Linked DNA regions of Callithrix jacchus. The protein of the gene in region 4 purifies or fractionates together with the protein of the main gene of each other region. This does not show direct contact. Links are inferred from orthologs where the notes say so. Each region holds a gene or a part of one and is shown on either strand. Other genes may lie near its edges.

Region 1 (4,618 bases), on a different chromosome or scaffold from region 4:
CACTGTCTCCGCGCTCAGTCATGTCGGCCTTTTGCTCCCTGCCCGCGAGGTCTCTTCCCGCGCGGCCCAGCCTCGGCCTTCCTCGCGTCGCACCGCTCTTTGGCCGGCTCTGCGTTTCACGGCCGGCCTGGTGGGCAGCCGCTGCCGCCGCGGGGACCGACAGGCAGGCGGGCTGGACGAGTGGGGCGGGCACCCTGGTTGTGACGCACCAGTACGTAAGAATTTTAAAATGCGTATGTCCTTTGACCTAGCAACTCCATTTACTCTGGGCAAGTCATTATTCTTCTCTGTCCTTTTGTACCTCACAGAGTTGTGAGAGTTAAGCGAGACACACGAGAAGAACTTAGGACAAAGTTCCTGGCGCATAAGAAGTGCTCCCAAAATGTTGGCTAGTAGTAGAATAATAGCAGCTAACGGGCGTTGAGATCTTACCACATGCCACATTAGCACACCGTGCTTGGTGCTTTTCATGTATTACTCAATCCTCCAACCTGTGAAGGTGCTATTGATTACCACCAGTTAGCCTCTGAGGACACAGGCACAGGCATGCAAAGTATGCTGTGGACAGGATTTGAGCTCTGGCAGATATGATTCCTGTGATACACTGCCTCTCCATTAGGTGCAGTGGGGTGATGAGTACCTTACGAGAGGGTGTGTAGAGGTCTGCAGGAACACACAAGCACAGAGCCCCGCTTACAAGTGGGGGCCATGTTGATTTTTTGGGGAAAAGATGGCTTTCAGTAGAGACTGTGACACTTTCAGGATGGGTAATCTTGGGGCAGGGTTGGTTGTTTTCTTTTGTTTTAATCTACTTTCAGCCCATCTCCTGATCTATAATACTAGTAGTACAATTTCAAGGATGGCTGTGAGGATTAAGAGATGAACATGCAGGTCCTAGGGCATTCAGCTCTTCACAAGCTATGCTTGCTGAAGTGACATGAACAAAAGCAGATGGAGGGGGGTCGAGTGGGGAAAAGCATTCTAGGAAAAGGGAACACCACATTCTAAGACTACATATCCAGAAAGCTTGAGGGATCCAAGAAGGGTGCCTGCAGGATGGGGTGGCTGGTGGCCGGGGTGGCTGATGGCCTTGAGAACCAGCTAAGAAAGTTGCATTATTTACCAACAAAAATAAAAGAGTCACGATTTGTTGAGGGTATACAAAAGAGAATCATCAGGAACCACAGAAAGGCTGCATACAGGGAGGTGACTTGATCAATTTCACGTTTTCCAAAGATCCCTAGAATCGTGTTGGAGTGCTAGGAGGAACTCTACCGACCTGCTTTGAACTCCATACTTTAAAAAGCATATAACGTTTATAATTTTCTCTTTTACTCCACAATTTATACTCACTGTAGAAAATATTAAAAATATAAGAAAATTTAAAGAAACAAAAAATTGTTACTTGTACTTTCCAGAGACATCCCAATTGATACTTTTCTTCCCATCTTTGTTTTTTCTATGCAAAAAATACGTAGTTATTAGAATGCCTGACAGAAGGAAGTTGGAAAGAGATCACTGTGAAGCGTTCTTGATATTCCCTCTTATCCTCCTCTCCATGTTAATAGGGTCTTACTAAGAGGAGAGGCTGATTTCCCTCCACGTGTCAGGTAAAGTTCCAACTGTTAAGCAGGGACCCTCGCTTGCCATTTTCGCCGGTCTCTAGGGGGGCGCTGCCCGCAGACTGGGTGGGGAGGGAAAAAGGCGGTGCGAAAACGCGTTTGAACTTGGACCCTGCCGCTGCCCGTAGCCGGCGTCCGTCCCCAACATGGCGGCTCTCCAAGATGTCCACGTCCGGATCTGTAACCAAGAGATAGTCAAATTTGACCTGGAGGTGAAGGCCCTTATTCAGGTATTGATCCCGGGACCCCTGCCGGGCTCCAGCAGCCCTGACCCAAGCTCTGCTGGTCTGTGAGCGCGGCAGTGTAACTGCGGAACTTTCCCCAATTGGTTTCTCAGGCCACTGGCTCCGCCCCATGGCCGGCTACCCCCTGTTCCCCATTTGGTCTTGTCCCCGTGACTGCTGGCCTTGATCCTCCTTACGAGTGCTGCTGGATCGCCCATTTCCAGAGCGCCCCACTGTTCGCCGCCTCTGACCCATGCTTCGCGGCTCGGCTTTACCCCTCCACCTGCTGCCCTAGTCGTCGCCTCGCCCGTGACCACCTCACAACATACCTGCCACCCTGCTTGGCCCCGCCTTCTGACATTTGCTTCCCCATCACCTAGTAGCGTCCGGGAGGCCGCTAGCCCCGCCCCCTGCCACCTGGCACGGGAGGCACCAAAGTAACCTGGGCCGTAGTTGTGATTTTATGCTTGAGGAAATCGAATATAGCGCCAAGGCCCAGGTTAGAAGGCAGATCTGGGTCAATGGCAAAACTGGGACCTGGACTGGGAAAGTCAGTCTAGGAAAAACACCTAGAGTGTTAATCTGTTTGTATGGATAGGAAATGAGATGCTTTGCCTTAAGCCATTTAAGGGTAGAGGTAAGATAAACGAGTTGATGTAGGCAAGAATTAGGAACGTAGACACGGTTCCATGAGTTTAGCAAAAAGAAACCAAGAGTTTTAAACTTTGGTTTAAAGCAAATAATTTTCAACGAAGTCACTAAACATTAGATGTAGACTCAGAATGAGTTTGTAACAAGGTGTGGCAAAAGTGCAGGAAAGTAGGGCTCCCCAGATAAACCAGATGCAGAATAAACCAAATTCGTAGTTTATCATACGGTGCAAAGAAGTGTGATTAAATGAGTAAGCCAGAGAAAAATTGAAATTTGATGGAGATACTTAAAACTTATTGAACTTCACTTCTCTGACATGTACATTACAGAACTTCTGGGTCAGTTATAGAAAAATAAACAAGTTTCATACAAATGAAATTGCATTTTCTCTTAATCTAAATTGCTTAAGCACCCTTCTGTACCCTTTCTAACATTTGGGTTCTTGTGATTCCTGATAAGAAAGATTCATTATAGCTGGATGTATTATTGCACTCTTACTGTGTTCCATTGCTCTGCTAAGTGCTTTACATGCATGTATGATCTATGATCTGTGAGATAAGTAGTGTTGCAATGAGGGGGAGAATTTAAACTGAGACAGAATTTAAATAACTTTTCCAAGTAACTTTACACAACTAATAAGTTGCTTCAGCCAGGATTAGAATCCACATGGTCTGTCTCCAGAACCTGCTCTGAAACCTGGCACCAGCTGTTGCTGAATCTGTTGCTGAATGTCCAGGAACAGATTCTAAATCTGCCCTTAAACATGTCTGTATAAACACTCTGACTTATCACTGATGGTTTGTCAAATCACAATGAAGAAGTTAATCTCATCATATGATGCCAGATATTTAAGCATCCTGATCTTCAAGTTGGAAGGATCTCAGATTCTGAAGTTAATAGTATTGCTTTTGCATGTCCATTCTTGTTGGGCATACAAGCTGTTTTAAGCTTTTTCATACTGGCCACATAAGATTTTATTAAAATTTAGGAACTAAAAATTAGGTCAAAGCAATTGTGTTTCTTTCTAGGCTTTTATAGTAATTTTAACATTAAAGAGGAATGAGAAAAATGTAAATGATAATATTTTTGCCCATGTTGCAGAGGTAAACAGCAAAGATCAGGACGAATTACAGTCAGTACGTTAATATCAGTTGGTCTAAACCAACTCTAACTTTATGGATGGTGTCATTTCATTTCACTGCCTTGAGAAAGGCCTCTTATCTGTTCAATGTCTCCTAGGATATCCGTGATTGTTCAGGACCCTTAAGTACTCTTACTGAACTGAACACTAAAGTAAAAGAGAAATTTCAACAGTTGCGTCACAGAATACAGGTGGGTATTCTAAGAACTGAGATGCTGAGTATCTCAGTTCAGCCAATGAAGGGGCTCAGTCCTGGGTATATCCTCTGCTTGAAGCTGTCTGGGTTCTTCAAACACCAGCTAATGGGAGTAGTAAACACTTCGACAGTAAGAGGGACTCTGTACTAACCTGCTTTCCAGGTAAAAATGAGAAACTTTTGCATGCAGAACACTGCCAGCTGTGTCAATGAGTGGCAGTTTTTTTTAGGTGAAGTCTCGCTCTGTTGCCCAGGCTGGAGTGCAGTGGCATGATCTCAGCTCAGCACAACCTCCACCTCCCATGTTCAAGCGATTCTCCTGCCACAGCCTCCCAAGTAGCTTGGACCACAGGTGTGTGCCACCATGCCTGGCTAATTTTTGTAATTTTGTAGAAATGGGTTTTCAGGTTTTCACTATGTTGGCCCGGCTGGTCTCGAACTCCTCATCTCGTGATCTGCCCGCCTCAGCCTGGGTTTACAGGCATGAGCTACTGCACCTGGCTAATCTTGTTTTTTTTAAAATAGAGATGGAGTCTCATTATGTTGCTTGGGCTTCTTAAACTCCTGGGCTCAAGCAATCCTGCTTTGGCTTTTGAAAGGGCTGGAATTCCAGGCATGAGCCCAGCCTATTCTGTTTCTTTCAGACAGAATTTGGATCCAGGTTCTAATTGTTTCCAAGTTCAGGATCTAGATCAGAATCAGAAGGTAAAGACTACTGTTTCATGGGTCCGGGGCCTGCTGAGAAAAAGACAGGAAACAGGTTATGGACCTGACTATGAAGGGC
Region 2 (3,639 bases), on a different chromosome or scaffold from region 4:
ATCGGCATAAAAGAGGTTTTTAATACCTATTTTTAGATTGCATTCCCGCCTGAGCAATCGAACAAGACTCTTGTTCTCTCTACCCCTTTCTTTCTCTTTTTTCTTTCAAAAAAAAAAAAAAATACCCCAACAACTTATAAACCCAATAACTACCGCACAGCTTCAACATGTCTTAGAACAAAATTCCCAAAACATCAAGAGACCTATATACAAATTAAGTTAAAAAAAGATTCCATAATGAAATCTACAGTTCAAAAAAAAAAAAAAGGAAAGGAGGGAAATGAAAGAGAAAGAAACAAGGAAGGGAGGGAAAGAAAAGAGAGAGGAAGGGAGGGAGGGAAAGAAGGGGAAAGGAAAAGAAAGAAAAAGGGTGAGAGAAAGAGGCCAGGCACGGTGGCCCACACCTATAATCCTAGCACTTTGGGCGGCCCAGGCGGGTGGATCACAAGGTCAGGAGTTCGAGACCAGCCTGGCCAACATGGTGAAACCCCATCTGTACTACAGATACAAAAATTAGCTGGGTGGCCAGGTGCAGTGGCTCACTCCTATAATCCTAACACTTTAGGAGGCCGAGGTGGGTAAATCAAGAGGTCAGGAGATCGAGACCATCCTGGCCAACATGGTGAAACCCTGTCTCTACTAAAATTACAAAAATTAGCTGGTGTGGTGGCACATTCCTGTAATCCCAGCTGTTCAGGAGGCTGAGGCAGGTGAATTGTTTGAATCCAGGAGGCAGAGGTTGCAGTGAGATGAGATTGTGCTACTGCACTCCAGCCTGGGCAACAGAGCGAGACTCTCAAAAAAAAAAAAAGAGAGAGAGAGAAAGAGGGAGGGAGGGAAAGGAAGGAAAGAAAGAGAGAGAGGAGAGGGAAGGGAGGGAGGGAGGGAGGGAGGGAAAGACCCAAATATAGGGGATTTTGCCAATGTTCAGTTCTTCCACTGCTGTTAGGAAAACAAGCTGCAGTTCAGCCCACCAAGCTGATTTATTTTTACCTTCTTTGATCAGAGCAGCAAACAGGATGTAGTCCATTCTCCTTGGAACTCCTATCCACAAACCATCAGATTTTGTCCATCAGTTGGGAGTTCCTATAGGGCATTGTCCAGTGATGATAGAATCCAGCAATTCCTCACATAGTTCCAGAGTCAATCCCAGGGGAAAAGAGGCTCCTTACTTGTCGCTCCTCCTTGCATTCCTCAGATAGCATGATCCTGTGTAAACATTTAAATTCTGCAGTACACAGTCCCAGTGGTTGTCGTAGAGAGGTACTCACTGGCCTTTGTCACAAAAGGCCTAGCAGCCTCCACATAGGGCTATGACACCAGGAATTTGTCTATATCAGTACTCTAGCCTTCTGCTGTACTGTTTGACTTGGGGAATCTTACTGGTTCCCATGTAGCATGTCCAGTTAAAGTTGCTTAAAGGGTAAGGTTATGTGCCTCAGTTTTACAATACTGGGTAGGCAGCAATAGATTATTTTCTGTTTATGGAGAAAGCTTGCTTTATATAGCCTTAAAAACACATGTGTTAATAGCTAAACTTTAGGTACGTGAAGGAAACAAATCTTCTAACATGTTACTTAATGTTAATTGTTTTTTTGTCTTCCTTAGGCTGACATTTTGGATGTCAATCAGATATTTAAAGATTTGGCCATGATGATCCATGACCAAGGTGATCTGATTGGTATGTATTATTGAAAGCTTTAACCTCAAGGTGAGTTGATAGTATTTGGCATGCACGTGCAATCCCAGCTACGCAGGAGGCTGAGGCTCAAGCATCACCTAGGAGTTTGAGGCCAACGTGGGCAACATAATGAGAATCTGTCTATTAAAAAAAAGTAAGAAAAGGAGTTAGTCATATCAGCTATAGAATTAAAGTGAGTTTAGGAATGCCACTTTAAAAATTACCAAATTTATTTTTCTTGGCAATTTCCTTATGTTATCAAATGTAGAAATTAAAGTGAGGTTTTGGGAATATTCAGTCCCATTGACTTGTTTCTTTGTAAGTCTTTGTTTAGAGAAATAGCTGTCAGCTTCCCAGCTTTTATCTCTACAAACTTGCAAAATTATGGGGTAACTCTATTTTTAAAGCTTTTTAAAAAGCTTTCTACATGGAAATAATTTCAAATTTATTAAAAGTTGCAAAAATAGGCTGGGCATGGTCACTCACACCTATAATCCCAGCGCTTTGGGAGGCTAAGGCAGGAGGATCACTTGAAGCCAGGAGTTCAAGACTAGCCTGGGCAATATCGTGAGACCCTGTCTTTACAAAAAAATTAGCCAGCCATAGTAACATTCACCTGTACTCCTAGCTACTCAGAAGGCTGAGGTGGGAAGATCACTTGAGTCCACGAGTTTGAAGCTATATAGTGAGCTATGATTGTGCCACTACACTGTAGCCTAGGTGATAGAGTGAGATCCTAGCTCTTAAAAAAAAAAAAAAAGTAGCAAAAATAAAAATATTACAAGGACCTTCTTTATACCCTTTACCCAGATTTACCTCCTGTTAACATTCTATCCCATTTGCTTTATTATGTATTCTTTCTCTGTCTATGAGTATATACATAATTTTTTCTGAATCATTTATGGGTGAGTTAAATAATTCCTAGCCCCCAAAAATTTGATGTTTTTTTCCCAACGAATAGGGCTAGTCTCTTATCAAGGTAGTAACTTGATTTCATGGTGGATAGTTTGGATGGTGGTAGTGAAACTAGACCCATAACATCAGAAATCTGTTCAATTTGCAGTCTTGAAACATCTGAATGTGTTAAAACATCCTCTGTCCTTCCTTTTGCAGATAGCATAGAAGCCAATGTGGAAAGCTCAGAGGTACATGTTGAAAGAGCCACTGAACAGTTACAGCGAGCTGCTTATTATCAGGTAAAAGTGGATACCAAAGAAAATCATTCTGTGTTTTAGACTTTTTAGGTTATCAGAGTACGTTGACATTATTGAGAACAGCTACAGGCTTTTGCTTATATTTACCTAAAGGAAAGTAGTCATAATTGCAGTCCCAGTTCCATTTTTAGTATTTTTCTTTGCAGATAGATCTACAAAAAATAATCAAACCCTGAATAAACCTACCAGAAGCCTCTTAACTGCAAAGCTAACCCTATAAACTAGCATGAGGCTGGGTGTGGTGGCCAACGCCTATAATCCCAGCACTTTGGGAGGCCAAGGTGGGCGAATTATGAGGTCAGGAGTTCAAGACCACCCTGACCAACATGGCGAAACCCCATCTCTACTAAAAATACAAAAAATTGGCTGGGCGTGGTGGCGCACATTCTTGAACCCAGGAGGCGGAGGTTGTTGCAGCAAGCCAAGATCCCGCCATTGCACTGCAGCCTGGGCAACAGAGCAAGACTCCATCTCAAAAAATTTTTTAAAAATAAACTAGCATGATACCTAAATATGGCATAAGGCTATTTTATGTCCTGAACAGCTGAATGTGTTTCACTTAGGATAGTAAGAAGTTAAAGTAGAAGACTTCATAGATATTTATGTTGACTGTTGCCATAGAGGATGGACATAGCAACTTTGACTGCTATTTATATATGAATAAATAGGAGTAATTATTCTGGAACTGTTCCTGTGATGTGAACTCCTTCTTTGTATTAGTTGAAACTCTGGTTTTTTGACTTA
Region 3 (4,696 bases), on a different chromosome or scaffold from region 4:
CCACTGACATCAATGGAATTTTACGGGAAATTGGAATGAGTTAGTAAGCTTTGTCAAGTAGGCATTTTCTTCCTCCCTCAAAAAGTTCTGTGTGCAAGTATAAATCATCAAAAGGATGCAGATTCTTTCCATCTATTGCTTACAGATTGCTGTCTAAAGAGGCACTCATTTCATGCACAAGTCTTTATCTCCGTCTTTCTTAAAATAAGCAGAACATGGGAAAAAATTTTCTATACTGCAGTCCACATTATAGATAAGAAAAATAAAAACTAAGTGACATGGGAGATTGGTGGTGGATTTTCAAATATCAGAAATTTACAGGATTTTCATTAGCATTGTTTCTATGTTTTCTGTAAGATATGAACATTTAAATTGGTAAGAATGAAATTTGCGTATAACACTAGTTTTTCTTATTTGTATCCATTTAAATATTCACATTTTGACTTTAATATATAACAAGATGTTTCATTCAAAACACATCTAAAAATTAGAAAATGCCTAAAGGGAAGCTTTATTTACTTGGTAGAAAAATTGAAAAACAAAACAAAACACATTCTTCACAGTTTCAGAGGTGACAAAAATCTCTTATATTTCAGTGGTTCCGATCTTCCTTAAGGGATTTGAAAATTGTATATAATGTTGCATAATCTCAAGCACATTAATGCTAAAGTGCTATTGGTTATTTTAATCGTGTATTTCTTACAATATAAAGAATTTATTTGGTAACGCTGAATCTATTGACCACAAACTCTGTCATTATTTTGGTGAAACTATTCATAAGCATTTATAGTTACTGATTTCTAGCACTTGTTTCTCATCTTCCTGATTTTACAATTCCCCAAAGTAAAGGGGCAAAAACCAAACATCTATTCTCTTTTTCATAGGGGGAGATCTGTGTGGTGTAAACACAAATGCAGACCTTCCAAGTTGATGGTTTCAAGATTCAATAAAAACTTGAGAGTTTTTGCTTCGAATCCCCACGCTACTTTGTTTTAGCTCTACGGGATACGTGTTCCCTACCCATTTCAAAGGACCCAGGCAACTCGGCTCTTGCCTGCAGTTTCAGCGCGCGAGTTGGAGCTGGCAGAGTTCAATTGCTCAGGATGCTGAGTCGGGGGCAGGGCAGAGAGAGACACTCGCAGGTCCGGTGGTCCTGCAGGCTGCGGGCCCCCAAGGCCGACCCTAGCTGGAACCGCAGTCCTCTTCCCCAAAACATCCGTAAAAGGCGTTCCCTTTGTTCATTCAACAAACATTTGTTCAATTTCATATGCCCTCTGTCTTGGGAAAACCAATTCAGGCCTCTGCAGCCCCAACACAGAGGCACTGTTCCCGCCTTATTAATGACCCGGTGAAGCCAGGAAGACGAATCTCGACCACTGCTGCGCAAATACCGCGCGTGGTTTATTAAATGCCTTCTCTCTGAGTCCCAAATGGCCGGGAGCATTAGGCCACCTCCCTTGCCCTCATCTCTCGCTACCACGCAAGAAAGCGTTAATCGCAGATAGTGACCATGGCCCCGATCCGTCGTTCCTGCTTCCAAACAAGCTTTGTGCCAGCTTCCTCATTTTGCGAGGCTCCACTCTCCTGGGCTTCAGGCTGCGGCTGGGCCTCCGGGACCAAAGGCCAAACCGGGTCTAGAGTCCCGGCCACAGACACCTCTACATGCGGGTGTAGAATAGCGCCCCCGCGTGGCGGCGGCCCAGGGCGTCTCAGCCAGATTTTTCCATCTCCGGGGTAGGCTTGGTCCCCCGTACTCTCCAGCGGAACTACAACTCCCAGCACCGTGGTTGCCCGGACTCCCGGAAGCCAAGCCCTGCAGGGAGGAAGCAGCTGAGACCCCGCCAACAAACCGGGGGGTTAATTTAGCCAGAAAAGGGGGCGGGAAGGGCTCTGGGACACCTGTCAATTCGCCACCATGAACGTGGTTTTTGCTGTGAAGCAGTACATTTCCAAAATGATAGAGGACAGCGGGCCTGGTATGAAAGTACTTCTCATGGATAAAGAGACGGTGAGTTTGCTTTTGCTCAGCATTTGTGAAGGAACCCTCTCAACCTTACAAAGGCTGGTCTCATTCCACTGTAGGATTTAGCATTTAATGTAAAGATATGAAAATGGGGTCAGTTTGTGTGGGACTGAAAAGTTGTATAAAGCTTGTACGATGGATTTTCAGTCTAAATGGCTCCAGCCACTGCCCAGAGACTACTTCTACCCGGAACAATTTATTGGAATCAGAAATCTTTTTCTAAAAGCCTCTGAAAAGAAATCATGAATATGTCAGAGCACTTGGAAGACTTTGGGATGGGCCCACTGTTTCCACTCAACATTGTGTTTTAAAGTAAAGCTGTTGGAGCTCAAGCTGAAATGACAGGTTATTTGTGGGCCAAGACCAGAAAACAAAACTCGTTAAGGTGATAGAAAAAATTATTTTTGGAAATGTATGGATTGTTCCTGTTAAAAGAGAGGATTTTTTTTTTTTTTTTTAACCTTGAAGCTTCAGCTGAAAGGATAGAGTATATTTTTCATTCTCGTATGTTACCTACCTGTTTGGATGTTCAGTAAATGTTATTCCATATATTACTATTTAATTTATCCAGCTAAGTATTAATGAAAAAAGAGGCTAGATATGCTACTTGTTTTTATTATTCTAGACTAGCATACTTTTAGTTAATTCTTTGTTTTTACAGACTGGCATAGTGAGTATGGTGTACACACAGTCGGAGATTCTTCAGAAAGAAGTGTACCTCTTTGAACGCATTGATTCTCAAAATCGAGAGATCATGAAACACCTGAAGGCAATTTGTTTTCTTCGACCTACAAAGGTACTGCATAAACTGGGCTGCCATCTGCCCAGGCAGATGCAGAACACTCTGATCTGAAAGCATTAAGACGGCAAAATAAATTTGTATTATCATGATTTGTAATTATCATTATCGGTGGCATCATAACTATCCTGGATCATCAGTGTTATAACCTTCTTCTCGTTTTGTTTCCATATTTCAGTTGACCCCTTACAGCCAGTTCTTCCTTCAAGATATCTTTTAGGTTCACAGCTATTCCCATTGCCACTAAAGAGCTACTCTCAACAGAGACCACATGGCTTCATTCCTGGATTAACCTCTGTATCTGTCACATTGAACACCATCAACACTTCATTTTATGTACAGCTATGAATGTCTTGAATCTTTACCACTTTATTCACATTTACGCTCAGGAACCTGTAATGACTCAGTGTTACTTCCATGATTAAATCTTTATTTAGCCAGCAGTTAAAGCCCTTCTTTAGTTGAGCTGCACATTTGTATCCAGCCTTCCTATGTCCTAGATCTGCTTCTCCTCTATAGCCAGCTAGGCTGCCATTGGAATGAGCCATTCTACATGCTCATTCCTGTTCCCTATTTGTTTTTCTTCTTTCACTAATTAAAAGTTCTTTGGTCATTTGTCAGTTTTTGTCCATCACCTTCTAAATCTAGCTTGAGTCTCTCCTTTGAAAATCCTTTCCTAGGCCGGGCGCGGTGGCTCACGCCTGTAATCCAAGCACTTTGGAGGCCAAGGTGGGTGGATCACCTGAGGTCGGGAGTTCAAGACCAGCCTGACCAACATGGTGAAACCCCATCTTTAAAAAAAATAATAAAATAAAATTTAGAAAATTAAAAATTAAAATTCTTTCTTATTTTCATCTTATTTTTTATACTTTCTTGTTTCATATTCATGTTCTTCAACTCTAATGCATTTTACCATGCTTGTACATTATGTGCTTTCTGAAATGCAAATTTGATCATGACACTTCCGCTTGAAATTCTTGAATGACCTCTCATTGCTTTTATGATAAGGACAAAACTCCTTAATTGTAGGCCGCGAGGTGCAGCATGGTCTAGTTTCTGCCATTTCTCCAGCCTCATTTTGAACCATTTCACTTTTGAACTCTGCACCTTAGCCCCCCTAATCTTTCAATCCGCTATATTCCCCTTGTTCCGTCATGCCGCAGGACCTTTGCATAGGCCTCTTCCTCTGCTGTGAACTTCACTTCCTCAAGTAAAGCTTTCCTGGTTTTGCCGACCAGGTCAAACCTGCCTCTTATATGCACTTACAACACCATCTTTATCTCCCTATTGCTTGTCATGGTTTGAACTTTTGTATGGTGTGCGTGATTACCAGCAGTAAGCTCCATGAATACAGACACAATATCTGTTTCTTCTCATCCTGTATTCCCAATGCTTGCCACACAGTGGACACTCAATAAATAGTTGCCGAATTCATGAATACATGCTATGTTATAATAGTTTCCAATTGTTTCATATTTATAGCACTTAGTCATGAAAATTTGGTTCAAGAGGGATCTTAGAGATCATCTTGTTCGTTATTTCCTAACGTTTTTTATTAGAGAAACTCACTGCTATGTATTGTCTCTCAAACTCTTTTAACAATTCTTCCTTTTTCTTTTTTTCATTTTATATATTCTGTTATCTTTTGCCTTTTTCCACATGTTCTGAACTTTTAGGAATCTTTTAATTCACTTTGTTATTTTTGCCTAGCATATTGTGAAGAAGTGATTTTTGGTTTAAAAGATTTATTAAAATGTTTTGCTTTAAGATTATATTATAAAGTTAATTTGAGTGCATTTTTAAATCTAAACAGTTTGTAAAACCTTTTTCCCATTAATAAGCAGTGTACGTTGCTTACATTTTTAAAAATTCTG
Region 4 (3,917 bases):
GGTGCCCCTGGGCAGACGGCCGAAGCCAGAAGGTGCAGGAGGCGACCTGGCTCTGTTGAATCTCCAGCTCAGCTCTGTCTGTGCTTTGGAGCTTTTTAGAAGTGGAGGCCCTGGAAATGCTGGCATAGCTGAGTTTAGGGACATGGCATTTTAGCTGTTCTCACTCTGGGGCTGAGGGGCTTCCCTCAAGGCAGCTGGTACCCTCAGAGACTGTCAGGTGGGCCACCAGAAGCCTCAGCCCAGGAGCCAGCAGACGTGACATCTAGGCCTCAGTAAGGGCTCGCTCAAGTCAGCCTCGTCCTCTCTTGGGGGCTCTTTCTGCATTCTCAAGAGCCCGACCTACCTCCCAGGGCCGTGTCTCTGTGGCCTCATAAATTGTGGAGCCCCCCCTGAGGCCGGGACCACCCTTCTCTTCTGTTCCAGCTGCTGGAAACGCTTTCTGCCAGGCCGCGCAGCTGCACCTGCAGCTCCAGAGCAAGCACGACGCAGCCACCTGCTTTGTGGATGCCGGCAACGCGTTCAAGAAAGCTGACCCCCAAGGTGAGGGCCTCCACGGGCCACATGGGCTGGCTGCCCGGAGGGCCATCATAGCACCCTGCATCGGGTCCTCGGGTTTCCTGGTGGCTCTGGTTTTTTCCAGTGGCCGACATGTGATAGGCTGGCAGAGACGCACCTGAGGCAGAGCAGAGCGCTGACTTCAGAACTGGCTCCCTTCCTTCCGGTTGGCATTCCCGCGCGGCTGAAGTCTCCGCCCCCCCAGCTACTGTGTGGGTGCAGCTGATTGCCCCTCCCCACGCCCAGAGCATTCGGGAGTGGGAGTTCCATTGCAGACCCACCGCCTGCCGGGGAGAGAGGAAAATCTGTTCTGTTGTCAGAATTAACACGCAGAAGGGAGCGGGGGGAGTTCTGAGACCAGCCAGGTAGGAGTCGCTGCCGAAAAAGGAGCGGAAATTAGCCCAACCTGGCTTCCCTACATCCTGGGGAAGAAGTAGAGAGAACAGAGCCCGAGATGTCGTTGCCAGAGAACAAGTTACTTAAAATGAGAGTGTGTTAGGGACAGAAGCCCAGTTTGGGGCTGACTCATGGTGAGAAAACAGTGTTTGTCCCCCAGGGTGCCTCCTGAAGAGGAAACACAGCCCAGTGATTGCCTGGGGCGGGAATTTTAATGTATTTTTAAAATCTTGGTGGGTACAGGTTGCTAATTAGCAAGCACAGGCAGTTTGTAAAAATGACTGTATACTGTCACTGTCCTCTCAGGAGAATGGAAAATATATGAATCTTTAAAAATAATCAAAAGTGTCGGGCAGTAATCAAAAGGGTGGCGCATGTCTGTAGACCCAGCTACTCGGGAGGCTGAGGTGGGAGGATTGCTTGAGCCCAGGAGTTCTGGGCTTTAGTGTGCTGTGCAGTTCGGGTGTCCGCACTAATTTCAGCATCAATATGGTGACCTCCCAGGAGCGGGGGACCACCAGGTTGCCTAAGGAGCAGGGGTCAACCAGCCCAGGTCGGAAACAGAGCAGGTCAAAACTCCTGTGCTGATCAGTAGTGGGATCGCGCCTGTGAATAGCTACTGCACTCCAGCCTGGGCAATATAGTGAGACCCCCGTCGCTCAAATAATGCTGATAATAATAATCATAATCACAATAACGAAAAGGAGCCATGTAATCTTGGAATAAAGGCCTATCCTTTCCAAGAGAAGATGGGTTTACAGCAGTGCAGGGAGTTTTCTCCACGGATCAGTAAGCCCCGGTTCACACGCCGTGTTGGGGAACTGTGTGCATACCCCTTTGTCGTGGTCTGGGGTGTGAGTTTCCAGACAAGGATGGATTTGTGTGTTGACCAGTAGCTCTTCTCTGTCCTTAGACTGGCCAGTGGTTCCCCACCAGCTGGGCATCTCACGAATTGGCCTCAGTGATCACACGGTGGGGCTGAGGCCTGGCAAGAGGCTGAGGAGCAGCCTTGTAACTGGGTGGGCTATAGAGCTGACCTGGCTGGCAGCACTGGGCCACAGCAGGCTGCATGGATGATGCAGTGACGACCCCGGGAGACCCTGGGTTGGTTGTAAGCTTGACTTACCCGGGGAGTCTCCGTGTCTTCCATTAAGCTGCCCTGCCAAGCCTTTCCTTCTGCTCCCCAGGAAACTGGCTGGCCTAGAGGCGCTGTCTTAGCATCTGTGCCGTTCAGCTGCTGCCCCATCTGGAGTGACTGGAAGGACTTGCTCTGGGGCAGCGCTGAGCACCAGGCTGTGGAACAGTGAGCGCCTTTGCTCTTTCAGCAGGCCCCTCCCTTCCTGCAGCAGGCTCTGCCTGCCAGTGGGATGTGGTGAGCTTCCTCCCCTGCATTTGATCTGAGCTTTTCTAGCCCTCTCTACAGTGTGTGGGCCGGGAGTCTGGGTGTGGCCCTTCTCTGGAATTAGGAAGCTCAGAGGGTGGCTAAGGACTCCAGCGGGTAGGAAAGTGTAAAGACGATGCCGCATCGGGGCACAGAGGCCAACTTGCGCAGACCTGAGGCGAGGAGCGGGTGAGCTTGGCTGGGGGAGAGCTCTTGGGGAAGAAAAGGAGCAGTTCTGACAGGAGAACCTCCCCTGGGTAGAGCTGAGAGCAGGTTCCATGTCCGGAGCCCTAGGGGCGTGGTGCTGAGCAGGGAGGGACAGCGTCCAGACCTATAGCCTAAAGATGCATGCCCCAGGGCACATTGGCATGAAGGGCAGCAGCTGCTTTGTGTCTGAGGCCAGTCAGTCCTCACAGAAGGCCAGGCACGTGGCTCATGCCTAGAATTTCAGTGCTTTGGGAGGCTGAGAAGGAATCCAGGAGTTCAAGACCAGCCGGGACAACATAGTGAGATCCTATCTCAAAAAAATGCCTCACAAAGAATGTCATCTAGCAGCTGTGCGTGGCTCAGCAGCACACGAGGTGGGTGGTCTCGGAGGACCTGCCTCCCCTGTGGTCTTGGGCAAGTCAGTCTTTTGGGCCTCTGTTTCCTCATCTGTTAATGCAGAGACTACTGTGAGGTGAGGCAGTCATGCCTAGCGCGGCACCTGGCGTGTGATAAACTGCCAGTCAGGATACCCTTGGCTGTCATCAGTCCAGGGACCTCTGCCTACCCTGGGCCCCCACGGTCTCTGCCCTTGGCCAGTGCGTTGTGAGGCAATGCTGAAGGCCCGATTTGGAACCTCGCCTGGCTTCCCCAAGCAGGTGACTGACTTCTGGAGCCCTCCTTATCACTGGTCTCCTCAGCAGCCTAGAAGGCCTCTGTCCAGGGTCAGCACTTCCTCCAGTAGTCCCTCCAAAGGACCCCCCCACCCCACCCCAAGTGGCAGCTGGAGTGTTCCTGAGGCCCGGCTGGGCTTCTATCATCTTCTCCTTCTGCAGAGAGGTGGCCTGCTGCCTCCTTGATGGCTCTGGGTGGGGAAGGGTGATGCCCATATGTGTCATTGGTTCCTCAATTACCCAACCACCACTGCTGCTCAGGGCAGACTCGGGCCAGGGACGCCTCTACCGGGGTCTGCCTGATAGCTGGGGCTGGGGCCAGTGTGTGTACCTGGGGCAGGGAAGGGGCCTGGCCCCTGCTTGTCCCCCACTTCCTCCCTAGCTGCCGTTTACTGGGTTCCTACTGTGTGCCAGATGCTTGGCATCTTTGAACCCATTTGATTTATTTGTGCAATTCTGTGATTTGCCCCCATTTTACTGAGGAGGAGACAGCCAGGTGTGACGGGGGGAACTTGAGAGAGGCAGAAGTCAAGCTGGGCATTGCTGGTGCAGTGTCTGTGGGGATGGGGCTGGCCTGGGCTGCAGCTCCCCCACTTGGGCTGGATTGCGCCAAGCCCCTTTCCAGCCCTCTGTGGGTGGGTGGAGGAGGGCCGGGTCATGGAGCTGGGTGTTGCTCCGCCTCTCGGGATGCCCAAGGTCTGGTGACC
Region 5 (3,917 bases), on a different chromosome or scaffold from region 4:
ATGTTAAATAAATAAATTTAATTGGCAAAAAATGTTACTTAAAAGCTGTGGCTAACTGGGCTCAGTGAGTAGCTCATGCCAGTAATCTAGCATTTTGGGAGGCCTAGGCAGGTACATCACTTGAGGCCAGGAGTCTAAGACCAGACTGACCAACATGGTGAAACGTCTTCTCTGCTAAAAATACAAAAATTAGCTGAGTGTGGTGGCACAAACCTGTAATCCTAGACACTCAGGAGGCTGAGGCACGAGAGTCACTTGAACCCGAGAAGCAGAGGTTGCAGTGAGCCGAGATCACACCACTGCACTCCAGCCTGGGCAACCAAGTGAGACCCTATCACAAGAAAAAAAAAAAGGCTACGACTTTTGGCAGTTCACATGGCTGTCACAGAAGGAAGGCTATACTTCTGAGGGCTAATTCAGATTTTCCATCTTTCAGTTAAGGTACTGCCCTGATTCATTTGAAGCAAGCAGCATTCTATCCAAGCAGGCCTTCCCTAATGGAATGAAATTTAGAATTTAAGATGGTTTGGGCAATTCTTATGCACACTCAAATTTGACAGTTACTGAATTAGTTTAAACCAAGTGTGAAATTATTTTAAAGTAAGAAAAAGAAATAAAATATTGAGGAAAAGAAAGGCAAGTAAGATAAGGATTTAAAAAACTGGCCTTTGATTTGGCGTCTTAAGAAGCCAGTAGTGGTCCTGGAAAGCAGTGTCTCTTGGCTTTTGTGCCTACTCCCTCTGTCATTCCACTGAATGATTGTATTCCTTAGTGTTTCTGTTCTCTCTATGCATTCTCACTAGGGGATCTCATCTATGCTCTTGACATTTGCTTATGACACCTCCATTTATGTCTCTAGCCTCTCGTCGCACTTCAGTTTCATGAATCCCCTCTGCTGTCATTACCATACTTCAGATGTTCGTAAGCTTTAATGAACCTTCGGGCTTGTTAAACCTCAGAGGTTCTGTAGGCTTGGGATGGGGTCAGTAATTTACATTTTTAGTAAGTTCCCAGGCAGTGCTGATGCTGCTGGTCTGGGGACCATGAATTGAGAACCTCTAGGAGGAAAACCACATACCTGTGACAGTGGGAGAGAAAGAGCTGAGGTTGTATTTGTGAGGCGTAAGTTTGGGTGGAGGAGGGTGACACAAAGAGTTTGTGCCTGATGGCTCCTCCTGTTTTGTTTTTTTTTAACCTAGAAGCAGGTATCTGACTTATAAATGTGGTTGGTAACTTCTGTTAACTGTGTTTTTTTTTCATTCTAGCCTGAAAACTGGTTTTTTAAAATGGAAGCCAGATTATGACAGTGCCGCTTCTGAATATGGAAAAGCAGGTATTTTTTACTATAGTCCAGTTGCTCTAGTATGTAATCTTAAAATATAGTCTGATAACTTCATTTCACCGTAATGCTTACTCATGTGCTTTCTACAAGGCTTTAATAGTTAAAAAAACAAACAGAACAACTGTGCAAACCCTTGAGTGTTTCTCCTCTTGTTATTTTCAGATGTGTTGAGAGCTGAGTCAGAGATCTTGGTACCTGTTGTTTATGACAGCAGGGATGGGGCGAGGTTGGTGATATACAGCAGTGGGTTTTTAGCATTGCTTATATATTTTTCAACTCTAGTTATTTGTATACTGTATCCATGAATTTTGCCATATTTCTCGATTATACTTTCTGTTGAATAAAGAGTTTGTTAAATTGTTTTGTTAATTTATCCTCATCTTAAGCAGATCTACAGATGATGTTTGCTTGGTACTTTTATCCTTTATGAACCTCACTTTGAGTGTATTTGTTCATTGTTCATGAAGTGTTAAGCTATATATGTATTTTAATCATTTTATTTGTATGTAAGATATAAACAATCTAAAATATGCAACAGAAAGGGAATTTTACTAAAAATTTAGCATTCTAAATTATAGAATGATAGCTTTCAGCATATCTGTGATGACTTGGAATATAAATAAAATAAAACAAAATTTTGAAGTACCTTGAACACATTGTCAGCTGTATTTCAGCGATAACCCTGATCACATGTGTTAGCCTAGCATAGAGATCATCTAGGGCTAGTGCTTTTGGATAAACAGCAAATGAGTCTTCAGTACTTTTATTTAAATCAGAGTAAATTCTGGTTTTTTTTTTTTTTGCATCATGCAAACTGTTTATATCTCATACTTTAAAATTATTAAAAGTTCCAACTTTGTGTGAATTTTATGGACTACTTCTGCAAGGAGGCTTCTGTAACAGAAGGGAACAACGTTTTGCAGGTTTCCACTGTGAGGGAAATTTAACACACATTTGTTTTATAGCCCTCTGAGAACATTAACTACATTCAAAAATAAATGTTTTAGATCAGATTTTTCCATTGAAGCATTCTTTGTTTATTTTCTTTAAGGGCTTATGAAAAATCTATTTAATCAGAATAAATTTTTAAAAAAGCAACAGATAGAAAAGCAGGGAGGAGAATCGTTCAGTATTTGGTTTTCACATCTTATTAAAGAGAATTTTAAGAGTGTTTTTAACAGATAACACTTTTCTTAAAGCATTATGCTTTTTGCTTCTTTGTAAGCAGCCCTTGAAAAGTTTTCCAAAATTTTAAGATTATATTTTATAAGCATTCCTGTTTTGCTTTGATGATTACACTTTTAAAACAGCTCGCAGTATACTTTAGCTGTTTAAACAGTGAGATATTTTTTATAGACAGTAAACAGTATAAAAGATTTTTTTTAAATGCATTGTTAGACATTTAAAGATTATACCAAAGGAAGGTTTATTATAAAAAAACTATTTAATGTGCTTATTGGCCTTCAGTTTCTACATAATTCAATGACCTATACCTAAAGTTCTGTTTTATTATTAAATGTAAAAGTAGTGAAGTAAGGTGCTGTCTTTTGTGACTAAAGAATCTACCTGTCACTGGAGAGTGTTAGGGAGTGTTGGAGTTAGAAAGACTTACTGATTTCTAATTGAAGTAACTGATTCGTTGCCAGTAGTCAACAATTAAAAAAGAAAAACTTAAAAATACTCCTAAGTTACTGATAATTGGAAAAGTTGTAAGGAAATTGCTTTAGAAAAAAGTAATATTTTATAGTTTTTGGAAACTTCCTAAGTATTTGAAATGTGTGTCTGTAATACTTCATATACAATGCAGATTTTAGTAATGATTCATTTGAGGTTTTTCAGTGATGGAAATAGAGAGTCAGTTTTTTTTTTTTCTTTTTCAGCTGTTGCTTTTAAAAATGCCAAACAGTTTGAGCAAGCAAAAGATGCCTGCCTGAGGGAAGCTGTTGCCCATGAAAATAATAGGGCGTATCTTTTTCAACCTTTAAAAAGAAATTAAACAATTAGATGATTTTGACAAGCTGTTTTCTCTTGCTATAAATTTGCTTTACTACCTGTGAAGTAAAATGTTTTTAAATTAGAAAATGATTAGAAAAATTGTGTATTTTTAAACTGTAAAGGAGCGTTTATAGTGAAGTTTCATCATAAGGTCCACACTGGTTCGAAGAGCTACATTTGAGAACTTAGTTTCTGTTGTTTATAGTTTTACTTGATGATGTTTTACTTGTGATGACGTAAGGGAAATCTGTAGTCATGCTGAAGAATGAAGAAGTAGGACAGGTATTGAAAACGCATAAACTACTGTATCAGTTTTTTAAAAATACAGTTTTTTCCTCAGGTATTTGAAATAAGAATTATAGTAGGCATTTGAAAACTTTCTGATAAAAAATGTTTCTCTTATTTGCAAAGTGTAGTCATAATAACTTTGCACTTCAGTGAATTGCATAATAGAAATAGTTTAAAATTTGTGTTATGTCAGTGTTTTGGAGAATTATATAGTTTTAAACTATATCAACAGGCTTTGAATTATTTCTTCTTTACTTGGTTGTAGGATTTGTCTTTTGGAACCACCTGGGTC
Region 6 (4,639 bases), on a different chromosome or scaffold from region 4:
GCAAATATTCCAAAATCCAAAACACTCCTGGTCCTAAGCATTTTGGATAAGGAATACTCAACCTGTACCCATATTTCTAGACTTGGTTAAAGTAGTTACACTTTTACCTGGAATGTTTTCTTCACTCATGCACTGAACAAATACTGTATATTACGCTTACTATTCATTCATTCAACACGTTTAGTGATTGCTCACCATAGGCACTGTAGTTATTGGGGATCTAGCAACTGAACAAAACGTGAATAAAATTACCTGTTCTCACGTAGCTTTCATTCTAACTGCGGAATAAAGAAAGAAAAAGTAAAACATACGGTATGTAGATGATGATAAGTGCTATGAAGAAAGGTAAGACTGGGAAAGGGGAAGACGGAGTTGGGGTATTAAACAGGGTAATCAAGGAAGGTCTCCTGAGAAGGTAACATTCGAGTAAAGAGCTAAAGGAAGTGAGGGAGCAAGCCATGGAGATTATCTCTGTAGCAGTATTCCAGAAAGAAGAAACAAATACAAAGGCTTGAAGGTGGGAACATTCCTGGTGGGTTCAAGGAAAGCGAAAGGTAATAGGGAGTGAGGTCCAAATATGTGGGAACCAGATTGTATAAGGCCTTGAAGAAGGCTGTAAGACCACTTTGGTTTTTATCATGGTTGAAATGGGAAGATGATAGATTTTGAGCAAACATATGGCATGATCAGTTTGTGGAAAATAATTAAGGAAACAGGACTGGAAAGCAAGAAGACCAAATAGGTTACTGCAGAAATTCACAGTGGATAGGACCCAGGAATAGCAATGACAACAGTCAGATCCTGGATATATTTTCAGAGTAGAACTGACAAGATTTACTGGAAGATCTGACATGAGCAATATGAAAGAGACAAGTCAAGAAAACTTCAAGGTTTTTGACCTGAACAACTATAAGGATGGAATTGCCATTCATTGATATGGAGTAGACTGAGTTCAGATGGGAGGGCCAGACTAGAGATATAAACTTGGGAATCACCAACATACAGATAATACTGAAAGCTAAGGAGCTAGATGCTAACAGTACTGGGATCTTGCAATGGGTGGCGGGGGCAGAGAAGATGAGCAAAAACCTATAATGAGGAGGCATTTAATGAAGAACAACAGTAACACAAAGCAGGAAGCAACTGTTTACACCTGTTGAACTGAAGGTATGGATAGAGAAGGCAGTGAACCAGGAAGAAAGGAGATGGCTTGTGGGATGACCTTCAAAAGATCAATAAAGATTCTTCGGGCAGTCAAAGCAAGAAACAGACATGTTAGTTTACCTCTATCATACTTTCCTCACCTGTAAAATGGAGATAATACATAATCACCTAAAACAATGCCTAAAAATAGTAAATGCTCAATAAATACCAACTATTATCTCATCCACCCAAATATTCTGGTATCTAGAATATTTGAGGATTGTGAGTTACTTTCCAAAACATTCTCAATATGAATGAGGAAAATAGCTAATTCTGCATTATAATACATATACAAGGATTTACCTTCCTCTGAAAATGAGACAGAATTCAATGACAGTAAAAATTTGATTAAAAAAAACAGATCTAGCACAATTTATCTAATTATTCTGTAAAATATTATGTTTATTTCTGCAGAAATACAAATTATCAGATTTAAATGATCTACAAAGTTTCTGCATACAAGTTTACTGCCATGCAAATTTATTTTTCAGAAAGCTCCCTTATATTAGTACAATTTCACTGACATGTTATTTTAACATGTAGTATAGTCATAAGAATCACAGTGTTAAGACACATGGAGCACATGGAGCTTCTATTTGCTTACACCGATAAAGTGAATGGCAGGTATTCCCCGAATCTTATTTGAACTTCCCTATATTTAGTTATGCCTGACTTCGCCGGATAGGTTATACTAAATTATCTACTGGGAAAAGCAGAACGCAACTCAATATTCTTTGTATCATTACTAGGTTGAAGTCTATCATTTTTTCTGTAAATGCCAAAGGAAGGAATCAAGTATAGCCCAAATCCTTTCTATACGTCATAGGAATTATAGTTATTTTCCTATTCATATTTCTATCATAAGAGCATAATTTCAGGAAACAGAATTCCAAGTATGCACATTCTTGATGCCTTATTTCTATCAGCTTCTCAATAAATGGCTTGAAAACTTTCAAGACAATTAGTTAACAAGCATAAACCTTTAGTTTGTAGCTAACAGGTATGAACCAAGTTGTCATGAGTTTTCAAATAAGGCAAAACTAATTTCTAAGATGGAAACCCCTCCCAAACTCACGAGAATATGTTCCTTTTTACATTTCTCTGCCTAAATGGAAGCTATATAAACACGCTCTATTGAAGACAAATTATTTTGAAACAATAATCTGTCAAACAATTAAAATGAGAAAGCTATTTATTAATTTGTTTTGCCATTCTTCCATTCCTTCCAGCAAGCTGAAGGAGGAAATCTTTATCACCGGGCATTTTTCTGCAGTACCCTCAAAAGATTGTTCCAAAGTAAAGTGGCGCAAAGCAAGCCGCTGTGAAAATACCTAAAATCTGTAATTGTGGTGGAGGTGCCAGAAAATGGGAGTTCTCTCAAAAATCAAAACTAAAACTGAACCACGCACAGAAACCAACGCGGAGACCTTATAGGTGGCAAAATAGAGAAGAAGGTATCAACTGCTAGATCTTGTGATGGCCTTCGGATGCCCACCAGGAAAAAGAAAAAAGCAGGCCGTATCCACCGCACACCGCTGAAGCTCCTTTTCCTGCACCACAGGAGGAACCGAGTCCTCAAGCTAATGGCATCTTCTCCCCAAAAATTCAAAGGGGAGGAGCTTTTGATGTTCTAGGGACTGGACTGAACTCTGAGAGATCGGTCTCTGAGCTGCACGCACCACGACCGAGTGAGGGCGACAAGCAGAAAAGGATATCTTCGTGGCAGTCACGAAGCTTCAAGGGGAAGAGAATAATTCAGTACCTGTCTGCCTTTCCCGAATACTGGCTAAGGCCGCTGAGGCCGCCGCCGCCACCGCCGCCGTCGCCATCTTGGCTCCCACGAGCCACTGCCCGGCAAGCTTGCGGAGCCGGGGGATGACGTGGCTGCCCTTATCGCCCCGGAAGCAAAGCGCGGAGAGGCGGGGCCAAAGGAGGTGCCTGTGGGCCAGACCCCACCTCCTCCAGGAAGACCCTCGCTCTCGGTAGAACTGGGAGACCCAGTGTAGGTTAATGCCTTGGTAGCCCGTAATATTAGCAGAAGACTAAGAATTTTTATCCTATCAAATCAAGCCACATTTTCTCAAATCGTAGCTACATTAAACTGAGCTCTGAGCACTTAAGGGGTGATAATACTCCAGGAGATGAGGACCACAGGACTGAAGTAAATGAAAACTCCCGAAACACAGGCAACATGTCAGTCTTAGCTCTCGTTTCTCAGTGCAGCAGGAGTGCTCCATTTGCTTTTCCGGAGAAACGGAGCATTACTCTAATCTGGCATATTTCTCAATCGCATCTCTTTTTTTTTGAGACAGAGTGCTCTTGTTACCCAGGCTGGAGTGCGATGGCGCGATCTCGGCTCACCGCAACCTCCGCCTCCTGGGTTCAGGCAATTCTCCTGCCTCAGCCTCCCGAGTAGCTGGGACTACAGGCGCGCGCCACCATGCCCAGCTAATTTTTGTATTTTTAGTAGAGACGGGGTTTCACCATAATCGCATCTCTTAAAATAAAATGGCATAGCTTTATGGTGGCGTTCTGCTGGCATGGACACGGGACGCAGGGAAGTACAAAATGAGCAATTAGCAGTTTTCCTCTTTCCCGTGGAAAATCACAAAACATTACCGTGGGAGGGAAGTCAGGCTGTAGTGGGGGGTGTGCTGCCAAGGCTGGAATGCGCAATCAGGACTCACTGCAGCCTCAGATTCCGAGGCTCCAACAATCCTCCTGCTTCAGCCTCCCAAGTAGCCAGAAACTGCAGGGGCACATCATCAGGCCAGGCTTATGTGCTGGTTTTTTGTTGTTTTGAGGCAGTGTCTCATTCTGTCGCTCAGGCTTAAGTGCGGTGGCAGAATCTTGGTTCACTGTAGCCTCGACCTACAGAATTGAGAAGATCCTCCCAAGGTATCCTTCCACATCAGCGTCCCCAGTAGTTGGGACTACAGGCAGGGGCCACCACGCCTGGCCAAATTTTTCATTTTTTGTAGCGTTTCACCATGTTGGCCTGGCTGGTCTTGTGCTGGCGGCTTAATGTACACTTGAAGCCACGTGATGGCAAAATGTATGGGATAGATGATTTCTAACTTAATCCATACATTTTACTGTATGTTAAGAATGGATACACAATGACAGCTGATTTCCCATATGGTTTCAATAGTTCATTGATGACACTTCATTATGAAGTTGCATCAAATTCTGAAATGAAATCAGACTGCCTCAAAAACTTTCCAAAATTACATAAATGAAGTTAGCCAAACGATTATTTAAGATTGTTTTATAGTGTAAAACATTGGCTTTTTTCATTAATAAAAACTTTTTGTGTCATTTAAAATAGGTTATCTTTAATGCTATTAGGAAGTGTCCTAGCATTGAACCTACAGCCTTTAAGAATTATGTAATTCAGTGGCTCACGCCTGTAATACCAGCACTTTGGGAGGTGGAG
Region 7 (3,917 bases), on a different chromosome or scaffold from region 4:
ACAACAGCACCACCCCCTGGGGGAGAAAACAGGATGTGGCACATCTTAAGTTAAAAGGAGGATCAAAGCCCACATGCTCTGGGTTTGAATCCCAGCTCTGGCACTTACTAGCCTTGTGACCCTGGACAGGTCATTTTAACTCTCTGAGCCTCAGTTTTCTCACCTGTAAAATGGGGGATAATAATAGTTGCTTTCTCAAAGGGTGGTTGTGAAAATTAAATGAGAATGTGAATAAAGATAAGTGTACCAAACAATCAGAAATTATCATTCTTCTGGATATACCTACATTCACTCCAACAGTGAGAATGCAGGATCATGAATCTCAACCATCTGGTTCAGCCTAGCAATTTCCTTGACCCTCCACTCTCCTACCCAACACCTGCCTTTAGAAGATGCCATCACAAGCTGGGCACGGTGGCTCATGCCTGTAATCCTAACACTTTGGGAGGCTGAGGCAGGGGAATCACCTGAGGTCAGGAGTTCAATACCAGCCTGACCAATATGGTGAAACCCTGTCTTTATTAAAAAGAAAAAAAAAAAAGAAGAAGATGCCATCACAATCAGAGTAAGTAGCCTTACCTCCTGGGGCTTCCCATTTTACCTGTGACTTACCCAGGTGGTTAGGGGCAAGGGGCAGGGCTGACACAGGTGCCCGGGAGAACTGCTCTCTCCGGCTCCTCTGCTGCTTCAGGTTCTGGGATTGGGGAAAAATGCAAAGGACCTGAAGCCGCTAGAAAGCAGGCATGTTAAGGAGATTCCCACTGTTGGCCCATGACCCTGTAGGACTTGTCCCTTCCCCATTTCCCTCCTGGATCCTTACCCCCATATTCTTATCCCTCCTATGCAGATTGTTCTCACCTCTGTCCTCACTTCTAAAACCGATTTGAAGTCATTGGACATAGAAGCCAGTTTCGACTAGAAGAAAAGGAGAGAGGGTCAACCAAAGACTCCACATTCCTCCCCTTTCCCTCCCTCCCTTCCTCCCCAGGTCCCACCTGCAAGGACACCACAATGGTGTTGGAATGGGTCTGCAGGTGCCGGCCACTCTGGCTGCCCTTGGCCCTCACGAAATCTTGGAGCTGAGCAATCTGTTTGTTGAGGCTATTGATGTCCTGGTAAAAGAGCCCACGGAAAAATCAAGTATTAGCCAAGGAGTCCTCAGTCAGCTTCTCTCCCCATGGCCATCTCTGGTAGGAAGGGCAAGGTGGAAGTTACTAACTAAAGTGAGAATATCCCAGACAGTCAGACCAGATGGGCCTACTAGAATTTTCCAAAGTCTAGTATATGCTCTAGCTCAGTCCCTGCAGAGAAGAGCTAGAAAGAGGCAAAGAGGGCTTCATCTATTTGTAAATGACTTGTTTATTCCTCCAGCCTACTGCCCTGGCTCCACTCTGTGAGGCCATGCTCTTGGCTACAGAACTCTTTCAAAGGCCAAAATCTTGGGTCTAGAGCATAACCAACAAAGCACCTGGACAATCCTTAGGAAAAAGGAATAGCCAAAGGCACTGTAGTTTCCAGAGGCATCAACAGAATTGTTTTTATAGACATAATTCCTTGGTGGCTGACACCTGTAATACCAGCACTTTGGGAGGCTAAAGTGGGCAAATCATGAGGTCAAGAGATCGAGACCATCCTGGCCAACACAGTGAAACCCCGTCTCTACTAAAAATACAAAAAAATAGCTGGGTGTGATGGTGCACACCTGTATTCTCAGCTACTTGGGAGACTGAGGCAGCAGAATCACTTGAACCCAGAAGGCGGAGGTTGCAGTGAGCTGAGATTGTGCCACTGCACTCCAGCCTGGTGAGAGAGCGAGACTGTGTCTTAAATAAAAAAAAAGTGCCGGGCGCGGTGGCTCATGGGTATAATCCCAGCACTTTGGGAGGCCAAGGCGGGTGGATCACGAGGTCAAGAGATTGAGACCATCTTGGTCAACATGGTGAAACCCCGTCTCTACTAAAGATACAAAAAATTAGCTGGGCATGGTGGCGCGTGCCTGTAATCCCAGCTACTCGGGAGGCTGAGGCAGGAGAATTGCCTGAACTCAGGAGGTGGAGGTTGCGGTGAGCCAGGATTGTGCCATTGCACTCCAGCCTGGGTAACAAGAGTGAAACTACGTCTCAAAAAAAAAAAAAAAAAAACAACTTTTTATTGGCCGGTGCAGTGGCTCATGTCTGTAATCCCAGCACTTTGGGAGGCCAAGGCAGGCAGATCACGTGAGGTTAGGAGTTTGAGACCAGCCTGACCAACATGGAGAAACCCCGTCTCTACTGAAAATACAAAAATTAGCCAGGCATGGTGGCATGTGCCTGTAATCCCAGCTATTCAGGAGGGTAAGGCAGGAGAATCACTTGAACCCAAGAGGCAGAGGTTGCAATGAGCTGAGATGGTGCCACTGCACTCCAGCCTGGGCAACAGGAGTGAAACTCCATCTCATTCATTCATTCATTCTTTCATTTATTTATTTATTTTAAAAGAAAGGGTTTCACCATCTTGGTCCGGCTGGTCTTGAACTCCCGACCTCAGGTGATCTGCCCGCCTTGGCCTCCAAAGTGCTTGGATTACAGGCATGAGCCACCACGCCTGGCCAACTCCATCTCAAAATAAATACATTAATTAATTAAATTTAAAAATAAAAGTTGGCCAGGCATGGTGGCTTATGCCTATAATCCCAGCACTTTGGGAGGCTGAGGCGGGTGGATCACGAGGTCAAGAGATCGAGACCATCCTGGTCAACAAGGTGAAACCCCGTCTCTACTAAAAATATAAAAATTAGCTGGGCATGGTGGTGTGTGCCTGTAGTCCCAGGTACTCGGGAGGCTGAGGCAGGAGAATTGCTTGAACCCAGGAGGCGGAGGTTGCAGTGAGCCGAGATCGTGCCATTGCACTCCAATCTGGGTAACAACAGCAAAACTCCATCTCAAAAAATTAAAAAATTAAAAAAATAAAAATAAAAGTTATTATTACAGCTGAGTGCAGTGGCCCACACCTGTAATCCCAGTACTCTGGGAGGCTGAGGTGGGCAGATTACTTGAGGTCAGGAGTTTGAGACCAGCCTGGCCAACATGGTAAAACCCCATCTCTATCAAAGATTAAAAAATGAACCAGACATTGGTGGTGGGTGCCTGTAGTCCCAGTGACTAGGGAGGCAGGAGAATCACTTGAAGTCAGGAGGTGGAAGTTGCAGTGAGCCAAGATTGTGCCACTGCACTCTGGCCTGGGCAACAGAGGAAAACTTCGTTTCAAAAAATAAATAAATAATTTAAAAATAAAGTTAGCCAGTCGGGCGCAGTGGCTCACACCTGTAATCCCAGCACTCTGGGAGGGTGAGGCGGGCGGATCATGAGGTCAAGAGATCGAGACCACCCTGGCCAACATGGTGAAACTCCATCTCTACTAAAAATACAAAAAGTAGCCAGGTGTGGTGGCACGCCTGTGGTCTCAGCTACTTGGGAGACTGAGGCAGAAGAATCACTTGAACCCAGGAGGCGGAGGTTGTAGTGAGCCGAGACTGGGCCACTGCACTCCAGCCTGGTGACAGAGCAAGACTCCACCTCAAAAAAAAAATAAATACATAAATAAAGTTAGTCTTGGCTCTGAAAGAGTTGCTCCATAATGGCAGTGATTAAAAGAAAAAAATGAACCCTCACAAGAACCCTACGAGATAGGTACTGTTAATATTCCCTTCTTACTAATAAAGGAATTGAAGCTCAGAGTAATCAAGAGCTTCCCCAAGGACTCAACATAAGTGCTAGACCTGGGATATGAACTCAGGTCTGTCAATCCAGTAAGCTGGCTCTTAAATGCCTAGGCAATAACACCCCTAGTTAATGGAACCCTTTCTTTTCCATTAGTGCATCATCTCTTAGATGGGTCGGCCATCTGCCACAATGATCTTTGTCCCAGACAATCACACC

What was found.
Region 1: the proteins of NAPA (region 4) and BNIP1 purify together in Homo sapiens (affinity purification with mass spectrometry; 3 studies listed by BioGRID and IntAct, with this or other methods). This does not show direct contact. The link is inferred for Callithrix jacchus from reciprocal best matches to the Homo sapiens genes NAPA and BNIP1.
Region 2: the proteins of NAPA (region 4) and STX12 purify together in Homo sapiens (affinity purification with mass spectrometry; 4 studies listed by BioGRID and IntAct, counting the BioPlex papers as one, with this or other methods). This does not show direct contact. The link is inferred for Callithrix jacchus from reciprocal best matches to the Homo sapiens genes NAPA and STX12.
Region 3: the proteins of NAPA (region 4) and VPS45 purify together in Homo sapiens (affinity purification with mass spectrometry; 3 studies listed by BioGRID and IntAct, with this or other methods). This does not show direct contact. The link is inferred for Callithrix jacchus from reciprocal best matches to the Homo sapiens genes NAPA and VPS45.
Region 5: the proteins of NAPA (region 4) and NAPG purify together in Homo sapiens (affinity purification with mass spectrometry; 3 studies listed by BioGRID and IntAct, counting the BioPlex papers as one, with this or other methods). This does not show direct contact. The link is inferred for Callithrix jacchus from reciprocal best matches to the Homo sapiens genes NAPA and NAPG.
Region 6: the proteins of NAPA (region 4) and SCFD1 purify together in Homo sapiens (affinity purification with mass spectrometry; 3 studies listed by BioGRID and IntAct, with this or other methods). This does not show direct contact. The link is inferred for Callithrix jacchus from reciprocal best matches to the Homo sapiens genes NAPA and SCFD1.
Region 7: the proteins of NAPA (region 4) and STX5 purify together in Homo sapiens (affinity purification with mass spectrometry; 3 studies listed by BioGRID and IntAct, with this or other methods). This does not show direct contact. The link is inferred for Callithrix jacchus from reciprocal best matches to the Homo sapiens genes NAPA and STX5.

The regions. Positions count from the first base shown.
Region 1 is NC_133503.1:65,504,527-65,509,144, forward strand, and holds the start of BNIP1 (vesicle transport protein SEC20), read left to right. Parts: upstream 1-1,755; 5' UTR 1,756-1,768; coding exon 1,769-1,852; intron 1,853-3,736; coding exon 3,737-3,829; intron 3,830-4,618. UniProt on the Homo sapiens protein: As part of a SNARE complex may be involved in endoplasmic reticulum membranes fusion and be required for the maintenance of endoplasmic reticulum organization. Also plays a role in apoptosis.
Region 2 is NC_133508.1:64,483,892-64,487,530, forward strand, and holds part of STX12 (syntaxin-12), read left to right. Parts: intron 1-1,608; coding exon 1,609-1,681; intron 1,682-2,794; coding exon 2,795-2,877; intron 2,878-3,639. UniProt on the Homo sapiens protein: SNARE promoting fusion of transport vesicles with target membranes. Together with SNARE STX6, promotes movement of vesicles from endosomes to the cell membrane, and may therefore function in the endocytic recycling pathway.
Region 3 is NC_133519.1:9,987,902-9,992,597, forward strand, and holds the start of VPS45 (vacuolar protein sorting-associated protein 45), read left to right. Parts: upstream 1-1,793; 5' UTR 1,794-1,915; coding exon 1,916-2,008; intron 2,009-2,684; coding exon 2,685-2,819; intron 2,820-4,696. UniProt on the Homo sapiens protein: May play a role in vesicle-mediated protein trafficking from the Golgi stack through the trans-Golgi network.
Region 4 is NC_133523.1:41,438,547-41,442,463, reverse strand, and holds part of NAPA (alpha-soluble NSF attachment protein), read left to right. Parts: intron 1-423; coding exon 424-540; intron 541-3,917. UniProt on the Homo sapiens protein: Required for vesicular transport between the endoplasmic reticulum and the Golgi apparatus. Together with GNA12 promotes CDH5 localization to plasma membrane.
Region 5 is NC_133514.1:52,333,006-52,336,922, reverse strand, and holds part of NAPG (gamma-soluble NSF attachment protein), read left to right. Parts: intron 1-1,265; coding exon 1,266-1,333; intron 1,334-3,222; coding exon 3,223-3,307; intron 3,308-3,917. UniProt on the Homo sapiens protein: Required for vesicular transport between the endoplasmic reticulum and the Golgi apparatus.
Region 6 is NC_133509.1:65,016,299-65,020,937, reverse strand, and holds the start of SCFD1 (sec1 family domain-containing protein 1), read right to left. Parts: upstream 3,053-4,639; 5' UTR 3,033-3,052; coding exon 2,966-3,032; intron 279-2,965; exon of another isoform or gene 253-278; intron 1-252. UniProt on the Homo sapiens protein: Plays a role in SNARE-pin assembly and Golgi-to-ER retrograde transport via its interaction with COG4. Involved in vesicular transport between the endoplasmic reticulum and the Golgi.
Region 7 is NC_133511.1:120,104,525-120,108,441, forward strand, and holds part of STX5 (syntaxin-5), read right to left. Parts: intron 1,113-3,917; coding exon 996-1,112; intron 916-995; coding exon 859-915; intron 695-858; coding exon 613-694; intron 17-612; coding exon 1-16. UniProt on the Homo sapiens protein: Mediates endoplasmic reticulum to Golgi transport.